4 linked regions of the Canis lupus familiaris genome follow. The protein of the gene in region 3 interacts with the protein of the main gene of each other region in a pairwise test. Links are inferred from orthologs where the notes say so. Each region holds a gene or a part of one and is shown on either strand. Other genes may lie near its edges.

Evidence for each region. The genes of interacting proteins can lie anywhere in the genome.
Region 1: the proteins of TRIM54 (region 3) and IQUB interact in binary tests that used the Homo sapiens proteins (3 or more experiments, as listed by UniProt). The link is inferred for Canis lupus familiaris from reciprocal best matches to the Homo sapiens genes TRIM54 and IQUB.
Region 2: the proteins of TRIM54 (region 3) and INPP5J interact in binary tests that used the Homo sapiens proteins (3 or more experiments, as listed by UniProt). The two-hybrid records come from large-scale screens. The link is inferred for Canis lupus familiaris from reciprocal best matches to the Homo sapiens genes TRIM54 and INPP5J.
Region 4: the proteins of TRIM54 (region 3) and FAM110A interact in binary tests that used the Homo sapiens proteins (3 or more experiments, as listed by UniProt). The two-hybrid records come from large-scale screens. The link is inferred for Canis lupus familiaris from reciprocal best matches to the Homo sapiens genes TRIM54 and FAM110A.

What each region holds. Positions count from the first base shown.
Region 1 is NC_049235.1:61,093,780-61,098,053, reverse strand, and holds the start of IQUB (IQ and ubiquitin-like domain-containing protein), read left to right. Parts: upstream 1-1,470; 5' UTR 1,471-1,473; coding exon 1,474-1,493; intron 1,494-2,214; coding exon 2,215-2,648; intron 2,649-4,274. UniProt on the Homo sapiens protein: Adapter protein that anchors the radial spoke 1 (RS1) complex to the A microtubule of outer doublet microtubules in axonemes. The triple radial spokes (RS1, RS2 and RS3) are required to modulate beating of the sperm flagellum.
Region 2 is NC_049247.1:24,526,093-24,530,246, forward strand, and holds the start of INPP5J (phosphatidylinositol 4,5-bisphosphate 5-phosphatase A), read left to right. Parts: upstream 1-1,350; 5' UTR 1,351-1,544; coding exon 1,545-1,655; intron 1,656-3,270; coding exon 3,271-4,154. UniProt on the Homo sapiens protein: Inositol 5-phosphatase, which converts inositol 1,4,5-trisphosphate to inositol 1,4-bisphosphate.
Region 3 is NC_049238.1:21,340,358-21,344,624, forward strand, and holds the end of TRIM54 (tripartite motif-containing protein 54), read left to right. Parts: coding exon 1-27; intron 28-1,566; coding exon 1,567-1,662; intron 1,663-2,294; coding exon 2,295-2,528; intron 2,529-2,785; coding exon 2,786-2,808; intron 2,809-2,918; coding exon 2,919-3,043; intron 3,044-3,204; coding exon 3,205-3,297; intron 3,298-3,599; coding exon 3,600-3,616; 3' UTR 3,617-3,758; downstream 3,759-4,267. UniProt on the Homo sapiens protein: May bind and stabilize microtubules during myotubes formation.
Region 4 is NC_049245.1:20,607,900-20,611,951, reverse strand, and holds the start of FAM110A (protein FAM110A), read left to right. Parts: upstream 1-1,248; 5' UTR 1,249-1,492; intron 1,493-4,052.

The DNA.
Region 1 (4,274 bases), on a different chromosome or scaffold from region 3:
TTAATTTAACAAAGTCTAGGGTTAAGTATCCTATCCCTCAATTTCGTAAAAAGTATAAGAATTTGAGAACAGTTCACTCTGATCTTTCCCTTCCCAGTCATATATTCTTATTGTCTAATATTTTAATTTTCTACTACTATTCTGTTGACAGTATATGTTCGGGTTTACCCGTATGCTTATAATTTATTTGTTTACCTTTTCTTTTGCACTTCAAAGTTCTGTTGACCCCATTTTCCTCTTCCTTCAAGTATATCCTTTAGAACTTTCTTTAGAGCAGATATCTTTGTGGTAACTATGTATAAATATTTCTATTTTCTTTTTTTTTTTTTTTTTTAATTTTTTCTTTATTTATGATGGTCACACAGAGAGAGAGAGAGGCAGAGACACAGGCAGAGGGAGAAGCAGGCTCCATGCACTGGGAGCCCGATATGGGATTCGATCCCGGGTCTCCAGGATCGCGCCCTGGGCCAAAGGCAGGCGCCAAACCGCTGCGCCACCCAGGGATCCCTATTTTCTATCTTGAAAGAGAATTTTGCTCTATGCACAATTCTAGGTTGATAGCTATCTTTTAATTAGTTCATTGTTACCTTGGCTTCTATATTTCTGACGAGAAATCCGCAGTGATTTTGCTTTTCTTTCCTTTGTATTAATATTAGCAAATTAATCCAAAGCAGTAGGTGATATGTCCTTTTTCACTGTGTGCTTTCCAGACCTTCTCTTTGTTATTCTGTAATGTAATTACAGTGCATATGGGTTTGATTTATTTATATTTATCCCATTGGGTGTATGTTTATGTTATGCTTCTTGGATCTTTGGATCCATACTTTTCATCAGTTTTGTAAAATTCTCATGCTTGCTTTGGCAGCACATATACTAAAAAAGAGTTTTGTAAAATTCTCAACCGTTACTTTAAAAATATTTTCTCTCATTTATCTTTTTGTTTCCTCTGTGATTCAGATTTGACATCTGTTAATTAGATCAGGGGCTGACAGACTTTTTCTGGAAAGGGCTTCTCAGGCCACATACAGTCTCTGCTGCATATTCATTGCTATTTTTTTATTTTAAAAGTATAAAACCATTCTGAGCTCACAGAAAGATATACTTAGCAATAGATATGCTAGACTTTTTCTCTTTTGCATGGCCCTTAATCTCTCATATTTTTCATATCCTTATCTGTTTGCTGCATTCTATATCAAATCATTTTATTTATCTTTTAGTTTCCCAATTCTCTCTTCAATTATAATGCTATATTCATTGAATTCAACAAATATATATTTTTATTCCAGATATTCCATATTTGAGGAAGGCTAGAGAACTTCACTAAGGTTTTTTTTTTTTTTTTCTATGTAAGGATTTGTGCTTAATGTGTTAGCCCCAAACACAGCTTTCCCACTTCACTACTTGTTCCATATTTTAATCCGCCCCTGCTCTTGCCACAGAAATACACCTCCAGGTCACTTCTATCCTCCCTTGATGGCTGCCAGTTTCTACAGGTAGGCTCCCTGATGTACTGGCTCCTCAGAGCTCTGATCCCGCTGCTGCCCCTGCAGCCTGGCCCTTGGCTGCCCGAGCCCACTCTGGCCCCAGGTCCTGGGTGCTGTCACAGTCTCCCAAGCCAGAGCTCTGGATTGCTGTACCTCGGGCACTAGTCAGCTCCAAAATCAACCCACACTTGTTTGTTGTGGGGAACAAAAGTCATTGGAGACTTGCTACAGTTTGTGAGAACAAAGCTACTACAAAGAGTGCTTACCATACAGGGTGTGGTTGCTGGGTCGCTGGCAGATCCCTTACAGCTTCTGATCCGTTGTAATCCCAGAAATAAAAGTCCTGTGTTAGTTTGTATTCAGAAAGAAAGCTTTTCAAATAAACCCTTTCACAAGGCATTGTTCATTGGATAGGGAAGCGTTGACAATATATTTTAAAATATTTTTCAATATATTCTTGACAGTAGATTTTTCTCAAATTGTGTTTTGAGGTTCTCGTTTAGTGATATTTTTACTTTTCATGGTGTTTTTATTAAAAATTCCCCGGTGCTTTTACCTAATGCCGTTACTAAAATAATCAGTATTTAAAAGAAAATAGTGAGCAACATTGCAGTATGTTATGAACATCACTGTATACCAGCACTGAATTTGATATTTGGTGTAAGAATTTTTTATGTGTAATAAATACATATATATATATATTTATTTTTCATATATTTTTTTGGTTCAGAAAAATGTCTGATCGGGAAGAAGAATTTGGTGCTCAGAATGCTGTTACTGCGTCAGAAGAAAATGATGATGCTTTTGAGACCATCAATGTTCCAATTTCCTCGGAGGAGCTTCCAGAGTCAGGTCAAGCAGAAGGCAGTGAATCTGAAGTCACACCATCCAGTGAAGGCCACACGACACATGTGAAAGAGGAAAATGACCAGAGCTTCTTGAACGAGGAGCCAGAAGATGAAGAACAATTCATGGAAGAAGTTTTGTTCCCCAAACGAGTTTCATACTCTCGAAGAAATTCTGTAAAGCACAAGTTCACTAAACATGATAATGCAGTGCAGTCAGCCAAACAGTTTTCACATGCTGGATCTCTGGCATTTCTGGATAAGATAAAGGCGATAAAGGAATCTCTGAAAGCATCGATGAAAGATCCTTTAGCAACAGGTATTACTTGGGGAAGACAGGAATCTCTTTTCCTCGTTTTGAAGAATGGTTGCTTTTTCAAATTTATTTTGCTTGAAGATTTGTTTTATATTTGATATTGCATACTTTTCCTTCCCTTTACCCACCAAAACCTCTGTAGCCACTACCACTTAATCTCTTAATTAAGTGTGAAGGTACTCTATTCTATAGTATCTGTTTTCCCTGAATAGATGAACACCATTACATTTTAAGTTGATATTGATCCATCTTTCCTAAATAAAGTAGGTTTTTAAAATGTTTAGGGACCTGGTAAAATGGGAAATTCTTGAGTACAATTGTCGTTCTTTTGCATACCTCTTTGGAATTACTTGTTCGTAGCTAGATAGAGTTGGAAGGGAACTTGACTCCAGATTTCTTAGTTTCATATCCAGAGTTCATTCCTCATACCTTGTTACTTATATATATTTCCACACTTTTTCTTAGTGTTAACTTTATATTTAGCTTCAGAAAAATTGTTGTCTTGAATTACTGTTTATTTTATTTTATTTTATTTTTATATTGTTTAATTTTAAAGGCATAAGATTCATGGTGTGTAGGAGTTCCCACTACATTGTTGGTAACAAAGCCAAAGTGGAGCAGCAAGAAAGTGGTTACATCTAGAACCAGCTTAGTTGGCTGATTAACTGACTGCTACTTCTCTCTCTTGTCCATAAGTTTTGAAATTGTTCATCCATAGGGTGGTGAATATGGGGCCATCTTTTAACAATAATAACAGCAGCTTGTTTGGCTGATGAAATGTAGCTTTTGAATCCAGTGGAGTAGTTTACCCTTGTGTGGTGTATCCATACAAGAGAAGAATGAGAAGGAAGGAGAAGAAATTAATTAAGCCCTATTATACCTAACTGAAGCTGTTATCCCTCGTTTTCACTATTCACTATAAATTTGGTCTCCATTTGTTTGTTTTTTAAAGTAACCTCTGTACCCAACATGGGGCTCAAACTCACAATCCCGAGATCAAGAATCACATGCTGTACTGACTGAGCCAGCCTGTGAGCTCCGTTTTTTGGTATTTCTGTGATTGCCGGATAGTAGTTTATAACAAATACTTAGGGATTAGAATAAAGTTGTCTTAGTCCTGTACTTTCTGAGGCTCACAAATTCATACACCTCCCTTTCCCAAAGCTTAGGAAGTCACTGTTATGAAAATGTTAAAATATATTAACCATAGAATTTTGAATCCATAAAACAACTAGAATAGCCTTCTGATGACTTAACATCTATGAAAGTGTTTTCTTTGTTGATAGCTAGGAAAGTAAATTTTAACAATCTCAAAGAACCTTAGCATCAACAGTGCCTGGTTAAATTTCATTCTGAGATTATTGATAAAAGTCTCATTTAGCTTTATGAAGATTGTTATGTGTCAGGCCTCTAGAAATATATAAAACTTTTTCAGCCTACAGTTTGTACTCTGCCCTCCATCTTACTTATTGATCTTCTCCATTAAAACTTAAAGTCAGTAGATGTAAAAGAAGAAAGTTTACCCCATTATATTAAACTTTTGAAAAGTTTTATTATTAATATGTAAGTGTCTTGAATTGCTATTTTATAGAATGGCTAGTGAGCCACGTAATGCCTATTTTTGTGAAA
Region 2 (4,154 bases), on a different chromosome or scaffold from region 3:
TTCTGCTATCTCGACCATCCCCAATATCTGTAATTTTGTCATCACCTCCACTACCTCCATTTATCTGAACCATCACCACCACCTCCATCATCAGTGTCACTCCTCCATTTCCATGATCATAATTACATAGGTCGTTATCTCCACTATAATCACCTCCCCTGTAACCACTCATCACTTCCACCATCCTTCATCACCCCAAATCCTTCCTACTCCAGAGCCCTAAGATGGCCTGGGTCTCTGCCCCTACAAATTCCAACCTCACAGAGTCACTGGCCAGGGAACACAGACTAGAACCAGAGATAGTCAAGCAAAGGTAGGAAGCCCATCCAGGAGAAGGGGATGAGGCATCTGTCCATGCAATTTTCATACAGGGGACAACACAGGCCCATGAGGATACAGAAGTGACTGTGGACCACCCAAGAGCCCTGGGTACAAAACTCTGGACATTTCCTGGCTAAACTAAGTGTGATCATTCCTCTCAAAGCAATCCAGCAATTCTGGAGAAATCAGGATCTCTTAGCAGATAAGAGTAAGAGAGAGAAGAAAGCAGAAGCAGAGGGCCCACAGCCATCCCTGGCCACATCTGAGCCCTGTCACTCATTCACTTTCCTTACTCCCTGACTGAGTCATCCGTTCATTCAGCAAACATTTCCCTGGACCCTGTGCTGGGTCCTGGCCATTGAAGTTTCCCAGGCCTGTTTTTGACCTTCCTGCCAGTCTATTCCTCTACTGCTGGGCCTTTCTCCACCTTAGTTCCCTTCCCCTAGACACCCCAATTGGCTCCCATGGGTCTTGGGTTACTGAGAAAGCTCCCCTCACTGTAGCTCTTAAGATCTCCCCACCTTGCTGGGTGACCTTGAGCGAGTCCCTCTAGCAAACCACATCCAGTGCATACTGGAAAGAGGAAAGGTGAGAGGGGCTGGGCTGTGGAGACATCCAGGGCAGATGGCCAGGTGTGTGTAAAATAGCAGGGGCGGTGCTGAGGCTCCAGCAGTTGGAGCCTGAGTGTCTGGTTCTCCGATGGGAAGGATAGAGCAGGCAGGGGGGCTGGCACCAAGGCCCAGAAATGGGGCAAAGGTGAGGGCAAAGCAAGCCCTGGGCTGGCAGGGAGTCAAGCTCCCAGGATCATGGCAGGGACTTAGGTGTCTCTGTGGCCTTGGAGAGGGTGCTGACCTCCGAGCTACCTGTCTCTACCTTACCTGTCAGGTGTGTCAATACCCCACCCTTGAGTGAGAACCCACCAGGCCTACTGGCAGGAAGGTGGGGACAGACAGCCAGCCTCCTCCATGTTGCTGGTCGGGCCCCAAGCCAGGCCAATGGGCACACTCTCCACCCTGCCCCACGGCCATTTCAGCCTCAGCAGTCAGCCTGAAGGGCTCCCAGAGTGCAGGCCACCTTGCCTTGGCCACCTCTAGGCTGGCAAGTAGGTGCCTGTGTCTTTAAATTCTCAGCAGGTTGAAACGGCTGATGACATCACTGGTTCCCGGGAGCGGAGGAGCTAGAGCCGGAGCCCGAGGGAGCCCGGGCTGCTAGGGGCTGCAGACATGGAGGGCCAGAGCAGCAGTGGCAGTAGGAGGCCAGGGACCCGGGCTGGCCTAGGTCCCCTGCCCGTGCCTGTGCCCCATGGGGTTTCCCAAACTGGGGCACCCTCCAAGGTAAGACCCCTAAAACCTAGCACCCCATCCCTGATCCTTGGTCCCACACACCCCCACACACGGCAGGCACCCTGGTGCCCCTGGCTGAGGGGCTGGCACTCTCCTCTACCCACCGAGCAGGGGCTAGGCAAACAGGGCACTCTGGGGGCTGAGGGGGCAGTGATGGGACACCCAGAGAGAGATGGAGTTCGCCATCTCCGGGAGCCCCCAGCGAGCCCTGGACTGGGTGTCAGGGGATCCAGCTGTGCTCCAGCTTTGCTGTGTGACCTTGGGCAAGTTGCTTGTCCTCTCTGAACCAATGCAAAATGAGGAGGCTTGTTCCTGAAAACTAAAATGGTGACATCTGGGATGTCTAAGTTGCTAGTGCTGGAGGTGGTGTGGTGGTTGGGGGGACACTTGGAGCCGAGGAGGAAGCCTAAAATGCAGTCTCAAAGAGCTAAGTTTGGGGAGGAAGGTGGAGGCAGAGTTTCAGATTCTCTGAACCGAGAAGGACACGGGACACAGACAGAGCTGCATGTCTGGAGGCAAGGATGGGGCCACCTCAGGGCGAGTGTAAACCTTCTGCCCTCCCTGGCAAAGGACATTTTATCCCGTCTTCTGGAGATAGGGGCATCAGAAACAGAGGACAGATGGGAAAGAGAGAGGAGGTCCCTGCAGGGCCTCACGTTCCCCCACTCCACCTGCCCCCACTCCACCTGCCGGACAAAAAGAGGATACCTGCTTGTCTGTCCTCAAAGGTGAGGGACACAGGGGAGAGGGGACAATTGGGCACAGAGAAGTGCAGTGCCAGGATCTGCCAGGATCCTGGACTTACACAGAATGTTAGAATCACACTTGATGAGGACAGACTATTCCATGGGGTTCAAATGGAATCCTAGAAAATGTTCGGCTCATAAACGCACAGAATATGAGACCAAGGCTTCTCAGGATTCCATCATTTTACAGATGAAAACTGAGCCCCTGGGCAGAGAGGTGCTTGTCTAAGGTGACAGAGAGCTGGGCTTAGAATTGACATGGCTAGTCTTAGCCCTAGGCTCTTGCTTCTATATGGAACTCTGGGAATGGGTGAGGAGGACAGGGAGGACTGTGGCCAAGGAGTTTGGGATCCTTGACAGGGACAAAGCTGAGGGTTCCTGGAGGAACTATGGAGGAAAGGAGGGAAATTTAATAGGCTAGACCCAAGGTGTCCAGAGAGGGCAGATCCGGGGTGTTAGGTCGGTAGCCCTTAGCCAGGGGAGCAGGAGGGAATGCAGGGAGAGCTGCCCAGAGAACCTGACTCCAGACACCCAGCCCTCCAGCGCGACCAGGGAGTGGGCATCAGTCAGCCAGGAAGGCAAGGGAAGAAACCTCGGGTTTGGCTCACACGCTGCCTCATTTGAGTTGGGGGTCTTAGTTTCCCCATCTGTGAGAGGTGTCAGACTTGAGAGAGGGAGATAAGGTTCTGTCTCCTGTTTCCTCCAAAAGAGAAGCTGATTTGCAACAGAATGGATTGAAGTGAGAAATTAGGAAGAACTTCCTTGCAAAGATGTGCCAGAGTATGCTGGGGTCTCCATGGAAGCCGGGGCCCGAGCCCCTGGTTAGGGTTACCCTGAGTCTTTGACTGGTCTTCTTCCAGGTGGACTCAAGTTTTCAACTCCCATCGAAGAATGCAGCCCCGGCACCCTCAGAACCGAGATTGGCCCTAGCAGCTGTGGGGCCGCGAGCGGCTGTGCCACCTTCCACAGAGGGGCCCAGGTTGGCTCTGGCATCTCCCCGACCCATCCTGGCTCCGCTGTCTACCCCCGGAGGACAGAAGACAGCTCCTGCCCGCCGCAGCTCCAGCCTGGCTCCAACATCTGTGGGCCAGTTAGTCGTGTCTGCCTCGGCTGGGCCAAAGCCTCCTGCGGTGACCTCAGGCTCGGTCCTGGCTCCGACATCCCTGGGGCAGCTAGTGATATCTGCCTCAGCGGGGCCGAGGCCTCCCCCAGCCACCCTGCGGCCCAGGCTGTCTCCAACATCCAGGGACCAGAAGCAGGTGCCACCTGCCTCCGTGGGACCCAAGCCAGCACTGGCTGCCTCAGGCCTGAGCCTGGCCCTGGCATCTGAGGAGCAACACTCACAGCCCCCCTCCAACTCTTCCCCAGTGCCCAGTCCAGTCTTGTCGTCCTCTCAAGAACAGGCCCTGGCTCCAGCTTCTGTGACCTCAGCCTCGACCTCTGTGGGACAGACGCCAGCTAAACAGAAGGCTGCCCCAGCTCCTAAACCTCTCCCCTCTTCTGAAGCGCATCTGCAGCCTTCAGCTCCGGCCTCTGGTCCCACAGGCTCCACATCCTTGATCCAAAGCCCCCCAGACCCCCGGATCTCCCCCTCATTCAGAGCCCGGCCTGAGGCCCCCCGTAGCAGCCCTGAGGATCCTGTCCTGCCCCGGCCACCCCAGACGCTACCCCTGGATGTGGGCCAGGGCCCTCCAGAGCCTGCCACCCGTTCCCCAGGACTTCTGTCCCCCACCTTCCGGCCAGG
Region 3 (4,267 bases):
CTGCCCACCATTTACAAACGTCAGAAGGTATCAAGCAGTGGAGGGAGCAGGCATGGTGGGGCTGGGGACAGTGAACAGGGTCTCCAACTTCAGCCTCTCATTCCACTTGGTTTTAAAGGCTGGCAGATCAGGGCTACAGTCCCAGCTCTATGCATGACTCAGTGTGACCTTAGGTAAGTCACTCGACCTCTCTGACCCTGACTTTCCTCACTTATAAAATGAGGGTGAAAATGCCAACTTGTAAAGTTATTTTAAGGATACAATTAGATGGATACAAGCAACTTCAGTTTGGCAGCCTAGATACTCTCCAGGCCCTCTCACTACCACACAACTACATTTGACATAAAACATAATTTTAAAACTATATCAGTGGGGCACCCGTGTGGCTCAGTCGGTTGAGCATCTGACTCTTGATTTCAAATCAGGTCATGATTTCAGGGTTGTGAGATCAAGCTGCATGTTGGGCTCCATGCTCTACTTTGAGATCCTCTCCCTCTGCCCCTCCCCCTAGTCTCTCTCTCTCATGAACAAAATGAATCTTTTAAAAAAGGGAAATAAAAATTATATCAGAGGACAAATGTTGGCAGTATTCCTGAGCTAGACAGCTGAGACTATGCCTCCAGACTCCTGAAAGGTGGACACCTGAACTGAAGACCTCCACAAATCTTGGGTTAAACTGGAATCTCAGGAACTAAGGTAGTCAGATGTGCCACCGGCTTTTGACAAAAGCAAATGCAGAATCTGCGTGGAGGAAACCCACCCAATTTAGGCTCTTAGGGTTTCCTTAGATTAAGAACAACAAAATATTAATTCAAAAGTGAAGATACAGAAAGAAGTGTACCTGAGTGAAGTCGGTAGAAACCAAAATTAGAGATTAGACCTCTGAGGAATTCAGATATTGGAAATATTAAAGAATTGGGAATTACTGTGCATAAAATGATTTCTTAAAAGGATGGAATAAAACCTTAGCAATAATAGATTGCCAAACATGCAGATTTAACAAAGAGCCAAATAGAGCTTTTAAAAATGAAAATGTGATTGTTGAAATAAGACATCCAAAGGGTAAATTAAATGACAGATTCCTCTGAAGAAAGAATTAGCAAACAGGAAGGCAGGCCTGAAAAAGTAGCCTAGGATGCAGCACTGGGAGAGGAGAAGGATGAGCACATATGTCTCCTCAGAGTCACAGAATGAGCAAATAAAGAGAATGGAGATGAGGTAATAGTATCCTAAGGAATAATTACGAAGAATTTTTCTGAATTGATGGAAGGCGTGAATCTACAGACGAAGCATTTAGTCCAGGGCCTGGCAATTGGTGGATATTTGGCAAATGTCTGTCCCTTTCTCATTTGTTGATGGAGGCCCTCCTCTTTCCATCTCCTTACAGAATCCACAAATGTGCTTTCACACTTCTTGGACAGTACCAAGCCACTAGATCTCTGGAATAGCTACACTGCTGGTGGAGTGGAGGGACAGTCCTCTCCTAGGCAGCCCTGGCTGGGGTGGGAAGGGTACAGCTCTAGACAGGGTCCTCCAGCTCTAAGTGCTGGCCTGTGTGTGTGGCAGAGCGAGCTCAGTGATGGCATCGCAATGCTGGTGGCAGGCAACGACCGTGTGCAAGCAGTGATCACACAGATGGAGGAAGTGTGCCAGACCATCGAGGTGAGTCTGGGTTGGGAGAGAGGGGAAATTTCTGGGTTCCTGGTGGAGGAGGGAATCACAATTAGTGGGATATGCTTAGCCAAGCTACTAGGTTTGAGTTCCCAGGGTAGCTCCGTGACTTTGGTCCAGTTACTTCACTTCTCTATGCTTTGTTTTAAACATATAAAATAATGATAATAATATGATGGCTACCTCACTGGATATTTTTGAGAATTAAATGAGATAATATAAGTAAAAACTAGGACCAGAGATACTTCCGAACTCCTTTAAAATATTGTATTTGCTAAAGAGAGAAAATCTCAAGTTTTCACAAGAAAAAAAATTGTAACTATATGTAATGATAGATAACTAGACTTGTGATCATTTCACAATATGTACAAATATGATCATTTCACAATATGTACATTTCACTACATTGTACATCTGAAACTAATATAATGCTAAAAGTCAATTATATCCCAATTTTTAAAAATCTTGTAATTGGTATTACTGAAAAGACCTGGGTTATCAGCAGCCCGTGGCTATGGGTGGGGTACTTTCCTTCCTGTCTGTGCCGCCTGTTTACTGGGGAGTGGGACAAGTAGGTGCGTGCTCTCCCAGCTAGAAATCTTATCCTTGCTCCGCTCTTTCAGGACAACAGCCGGAGGCAGAAGCAGCTGCTTAACCAGAGGTTCGAGGCCCTGTGCTCCGTGCTGGAGGAGCGCAAGGCCGAGCTGCTGCAGGCGCTGGCCCGCGAGCAGGAGGAGAAGCTGCAGCGCGTCCGGGGCCTCATCCGCCAGTATGGAGACCACCTAGAAGCCTCCTCTAAGCTCGTGGAGTCCGCCATCCAGTCCATGGAGGAGCCACAGATGGCGCTGTACCTCCAGGTGGGCGCTGGGGGAGGGCGGGAGGCCGCAGAGTGGCGGCAGTGGGGGCCTTGGCACCAGGAGGGCTGGGCTCCAGTCTTACCTCTGGCAGCCAACTGCCCCACGGCCTCGGGCAAGTCACCCAGTCTGAGTCTGTTTTCTCCTCAACGACCCGGGATATGCATCCGCGCCTACCGCGCAGGACTGTGGGCGCCAGCAATGGGACTTTGCCAGCGCTTGGCGCGGTGCTTACGCTCACCCTCCCTTCTTCCCTGCAGCAGGCCAAGGAGCTGATCAATAAGTGAGTAGGCGGAGCGGGAGAGGCAAAGAGGGGCTGCCTGGGCTCGGCTGCCCCGCAGAGCGGGTTGAGGGTGCTGCGGCGACTCCAGCTGAGCGGCTGCCGCGCCGCAGGGTCGGGACAATGTCGAAAGTGGAGCTGGCAGGACGGCCAGAACCGGGCTATGAAAGCATGGAGCAGTTCACCGTGAGCGTGGAGCACGTGGCCGAAATGCTGAGGACCATCGACTTCCAGCCCGGTGAGGGAGTGAGGATGGGAGGGGGCGGCGGGCGCTGGGACTGGGCGTCCCGAGGCGACGCGGGGAAGGGGGACGGGGGACGGGGGACGGGGGGGGGGGGGGGGGGAGGTCGCGGCCAGAGAAGCAGGGACTCCACCTCACGGGGTCTTCCTGGGGGACAGGCGCTTCCGGGGAGGAAGAGGATGAGGAGGTGGCATTGGACGGGGAAGAGGGCAGCGCAGGGCCGGAGGAAGAGCGGCCGGATGGGCCGGAAGGTGAGTGTGGCCCGAGGGGCCTGGCGGGGCTGGCTCGACGCCCCGGGCCCCTCTGCAGTGAGGCCGCCCTGCGGCACCAGCGATCTTTGGTGGCCTCCCCACCCCCAGCGGGAGGGGCGCCCCCTAGCGCGCGTGCAGAAGTACACTCTCTTTCCCACCAGCCTTTCCTCTGGGGCTTTGGGAGACCAGGTTGGGTCGGGAGGTAGAGGAGAAAGCCACGTGGCTGGGGGAGAAGGGGCGAGCTGGGGTTCGGAGCTGCCTTGTTCCTCTGGAACGCCCGCCCACCGAGCTTTCTTTCCCAGGCACTGGCGGGCACTGAGCTGCTCCCTGTTGGGGAGCCCGCGCACCGGGGCCTGGCGCTGGGGTCGCGGAGGACCTGCTCAGAGACCGCTGCGCCACCCAGCTCGGCGCCCAGCCGCGGGGGAGGGGCTCAATAAAGGGCTAATGTGTTCAGACCCGCAGCTCCTTTCACTGCTCACTCTCAGTCTCGGCTTCCGAGTGACCCCATCACCATCCTGCCCTTCTCCGGATCCGGGCCCATTTGAGGGACGGAAGTGGAATGACCCCTGCGGGGCATCTCCTTGGTATCAAGCACGGTTTGGCGAGCTCAGTGCCAAGGGAAAAGGGTCGGGGTGGTGCGGCGGCACCAGCACCTGAGTTCTTGGGGGAACGATGGAGATGCGGACCCCGGGTGAAGGCCCTTCTGCCCGAGCCCTCGCGCCAGCATCTAGTTCCCCCCCGCCGGCCTGGGAGGTCGCACTTTCCCACGGGCTCCCACCCTGCTGTGGTTCCCTGCGCCCCACAACCGAGGCCAAAGGCTCTTCAGCACTTTTATTAAAAACTGGTGACGCACAGAGTGCTCAGGGCATCCCTGGGCCGCTCTAATCTGGCGGGACTGGGTCACTTCCAGTCGCGCACGTCCGGGCCCGGGGAGAGGGGACGGGGTCGAGGTTATCGCGGCTGCAGACGC
Region 4 (4,052 bases), on a different chromosome or scaffold from region 3:
ATATAGTAAGTGCTCAGTCAATGACAATCCAAAGAATGAAAGTCTCCATCTGGATTAGAAAACAGGTTGGCTTCAGATTCAACAATGCCCTAGACCCAAACAGTGACTCACAGCTGTGAAATTTCCTCATCTCAAAGGGTGCTTAGAGTTCATTTATTCGAATCCTTTTTAAAAACCTGTGGTTTTTTCCATTGACATATTTAAGTGTTGGAAAGTGGAAAATCCACAAAAGCACAACAAAGAAATGAACTGCTATTATAAATGATTATACATGTGACATTGCAATTATGTACTTAATATGTAGTTATGTGTACATAGTGCTTTGAAACATACTTTTATTTTTATATTATAGTTGCACAGAGAGAGAGGCAGAGACACAGGCAGAGGGAGAAGCAGGCTCCATGCACCGGGAGCCTGATGTGGGATTCGATCCCGGGTCTCCAGGACCGCGCCCTGGGCCAAACGCAGGCGCTAAACCGCTGCGCCACCCAGGGATCCCTGAAACATACTTTTAAAAAGCTTTCTTTGCATTTTCCTCATACTTTAAATATCTTTAACTACATCATTTTTAATGACTGCATTACAGTCATCGGGACTGTGGGGATAATTAAGGGTACCTATCTCAAAGGGTTATGCCATGAGCACTGACCGGAGCTATGTCATGTGAAGAGACCCAGCATTTGTAAAAGGCTAGATAAACTTAGCTCTTCCGCAGGATGGCTTTATATAACCAATCCTTTTTTTTTTTTTTTTTTTTTTTTGCTGAGCATTGGAGTTATTTCCATTCTTTTGCTATGGCAAATAACGCTGGGCTATATTAATCTTTGCTCATATCTTTGGTCATTTCCTTAGTAAAGTTCAGGACTGCTGGGTTTGCACATTTCACAATTTCCCACTGAGCACGTAGGGGAACAGAGAGAGAAAGGGGCTGGCCCGGGCTCACACAGCGAGCTGCAAAGGCGGACCTGGAGACTAGCTGGGGAGCCCAAAGGGCGCCTCATCGTGTTGGGGACCGGGAGGAAGGCCTGGCCAAGGGAGAGAACCAGGCTCCAGAGCGGCGGCGGCCGCGGGAGCAGCAGGCCGGCGGGGCAGAGCGGCGCTGGGCTGGGGGGCGAGGCTGGGCGCTCGCTCGCGGGGCCCAAGCTAAGCGGTCGCCTGGCAACCCAGGCGGCGCGGCGTTCGAACGGAAGCGAGGAGCCAATCAGGATGTCCGGGGCAAACCATTCGGGCGGCGGGGGGAGAGCGGCGAGCTCACTTCCCTTTCCTCTGCGCCCCGGGGACCTCCGGGCCGGCGGGGGCCTGGGGACAGCCTGGTGCCCCGGTCCGTCTCGGGTACGCGCAGCCGCTCGGAGGAGGCCCCTGCGGGCCCCCACGCCGGGTTGGGGCGCACCGAGCCGCCTTGGACGCGGCCATTCCCAGCCCGGGTCCGAGCTGTCAGCCTCTTCCAAGACCCGCACGGGCGGAGCCGGGACTCGCCGAGCTCGGGCTTCAGGTGAGGGGGCGGGTGGTCTGGGTCGGAGGGGGTCCGGTCGCCGAGCGCCTGCTGTATACGTCCTCCCGGCGTCGTACGTGCGGGAGGAGGTGGTACCCCATTTCACCGAGGAGAACGCTGAGGCGCCCGGAGGCAAGTGTCCCATCCCTGGCTGAGAATCCAGTTCACATCTTTCAGCTCCACCTCGAAATCTCCAGTCTGGGTAGACCCAGATTTGCCTGGAGAGGTCCAGACGCTCAACTGGTGGTCAGCTCCTCAGCCTGCAAGGCTGCTATGCCCTGGAGCCCAGGCTGGATCACCTACCTCCTGCGCCGCTCCTGCATTGCCCCCTGGGTGCCCCCTCTGGGCATCTGTCTTCCCTTCTCTAGGACGCCAGAGGTTGGATTCAGGGCTCGTTTGGGGTCCTTCTGCCCACAGGGTACTGAATCGCAGTGCCATCTCAAAGGGCTGTTTTGGGGGATCCGACTGGACCGACGTGTCTTGGTTAGGTGCTAGGTGGGCAGCAGGTGCTTTGGCCCTGGAACCACTGTTAGATTCTTGAGAATCTGCTCCAGGCTGGGGGAAATGGGTAAAGGCAGCCACTGAACGTTAAGCCACTAGTCAGCAGAGACTTTGGAGTTCAGGATGGGGCTGCTGACACCTCTGGCTGGAGCAGCATACGTAGACCAGGCCCTGACTCCTGGGGATGCTCTGGGAACTCAGAAAGAAAATAAGTCTTTCATTTATTCTTTCAACAAATATTTATTGACTTTGTATGCCATGCCCTGCCCTCCCCTTTGTCTATTTTGTTTCTCTCAGTGGCATTTGCCCATCTAATGTCCTCTGTATTTCACTTATTAGGGAGTTGATATCTTCTTCCACTGGAATGTGATAGGAGGAGGGGCTAAGGTGGCCTCCCGGGCAAAATTGAGGGGTGCCAAAACCTCTAATCAAGATAACTAAAGCTAACAGTTATTATTTTCTTAAAGATTTATTTATTTTAGAGAGAGAGAGATGGAGTGTGGGAGTGGGTTGGGGGATTGAGGGTGAGGGGGCAGAGGCAGAGGGGGAGGAGAAACAGATCCTCCTTTTGCAGGGGAGTTCAAGGGGGGAGGAGGGGAAGCTGGATCCTAGGACCCTGAGATCATGACCTGAATGGAAACCAAGACTTGGAAGCTCAACCGACTGAGCCACCCAGGTGCCCTAAAGCTAACTGTTACTATTTGCTGCGTGTTCTGCTGGTAGAGATCAACTCACATGGCCTCTATGGAACACAGTACACCGTCTCTGTCACGATTACAAGCACGTCCTCAGCCCAGCTGTCTCACTTCTAGGCAACGCAATGTAGGTGCAGTGACGCCGCAGGCTGGTTTGTAATAGGGCAGGTCTGGACACACACTAAATGGTCATCAGCAGGGGCTGACGAGCTCTTTATGTTACTGATGTGCCACCACACATATTTTTGGACAACATATATTATTAAGTATATTAATACATATATTAGAATTAATACTATATTAACATTATTAAAACAACATGTATTATTGAGTAAAAAGAGCAAGGTGAATACAGTACACACAGCATGTTGCCATATGTGTACAAAAATAGAAAGAATTTATACTCATTATTGCTTGATCTGCCTAAAATCTCCCTGGAAGGACACACAGTTGTCTGGTTACAGTGGCACCTGCAGGGAGGGGAACTGGGTGGCTGGGGACAGGGGTGGGAAAGAGTTTGTTTTTTACTTCATTCTCTTCATAGTTTTTGAATTTTGAGTCATGGGCATATATCATCTGGTTGCATTATATACATATGAATCATTATAGATGATATATTTGATCATAAGACCAGTGCCCCATCTGTGATCTGTCATTGACTTGCTGTGTGACTTTGGGAAAGTTTCTTCACCTCTCTGGGCCAAGATAAGAAGCCATGATGGCAAACTCAGGTCTGGGAAGAAGGCAGTCCAGGACAGGAAGTGGGCTTGCCCCGGAGTCTACCCCAACCTCCACCTTCACTATCCTTGTGAGCCAGGACCTTCCCTGAGGCTTTGCATGCAGTCTCTGTCTCCACTGCAAGCCCGTTTGTCCTCATTTTGCAACTTCAGGTACACACTGAGGCACAGATAATTGAGCTGGTGGAGCTGAGCTGTCCGCTGGCCGATAGAAGATCAGTGCTTCAGGCGTCTGTGCCCACAGCCCTCCTTCAGTCCGCTCACCTCTCTCTTTCTGAGATGTGTGCAAGTGTGCCCTGGGCAAGGCCCACTGCAAGCAGGTCAGGGCATGAGTGTCTGGGGAGACTCCAGAAATAGCACGGAGCCTGGCGTGGCCCTGGAGGATGCCCAGCTGGGTGTCTCTGACCCGGACAGCTGGGCTGAAATCGAGCTGGCCTGCCCTATTGGCTGGCCCCCTCCCTGCTGCCTGGAGCCTTCCTGATCCTCCTCTGGGGCAGGTGAGGGCCTCCCTGTCTCCACCCAAGTCAGGGCCTGGCTTCTGCCGAATGGAAAGAGCGAAGCAGGTGGAAGGAAGGGGTGGGGTGGGGGGTGCAGAATGTCATGAAAACTATAAACGTCGAAGCCACA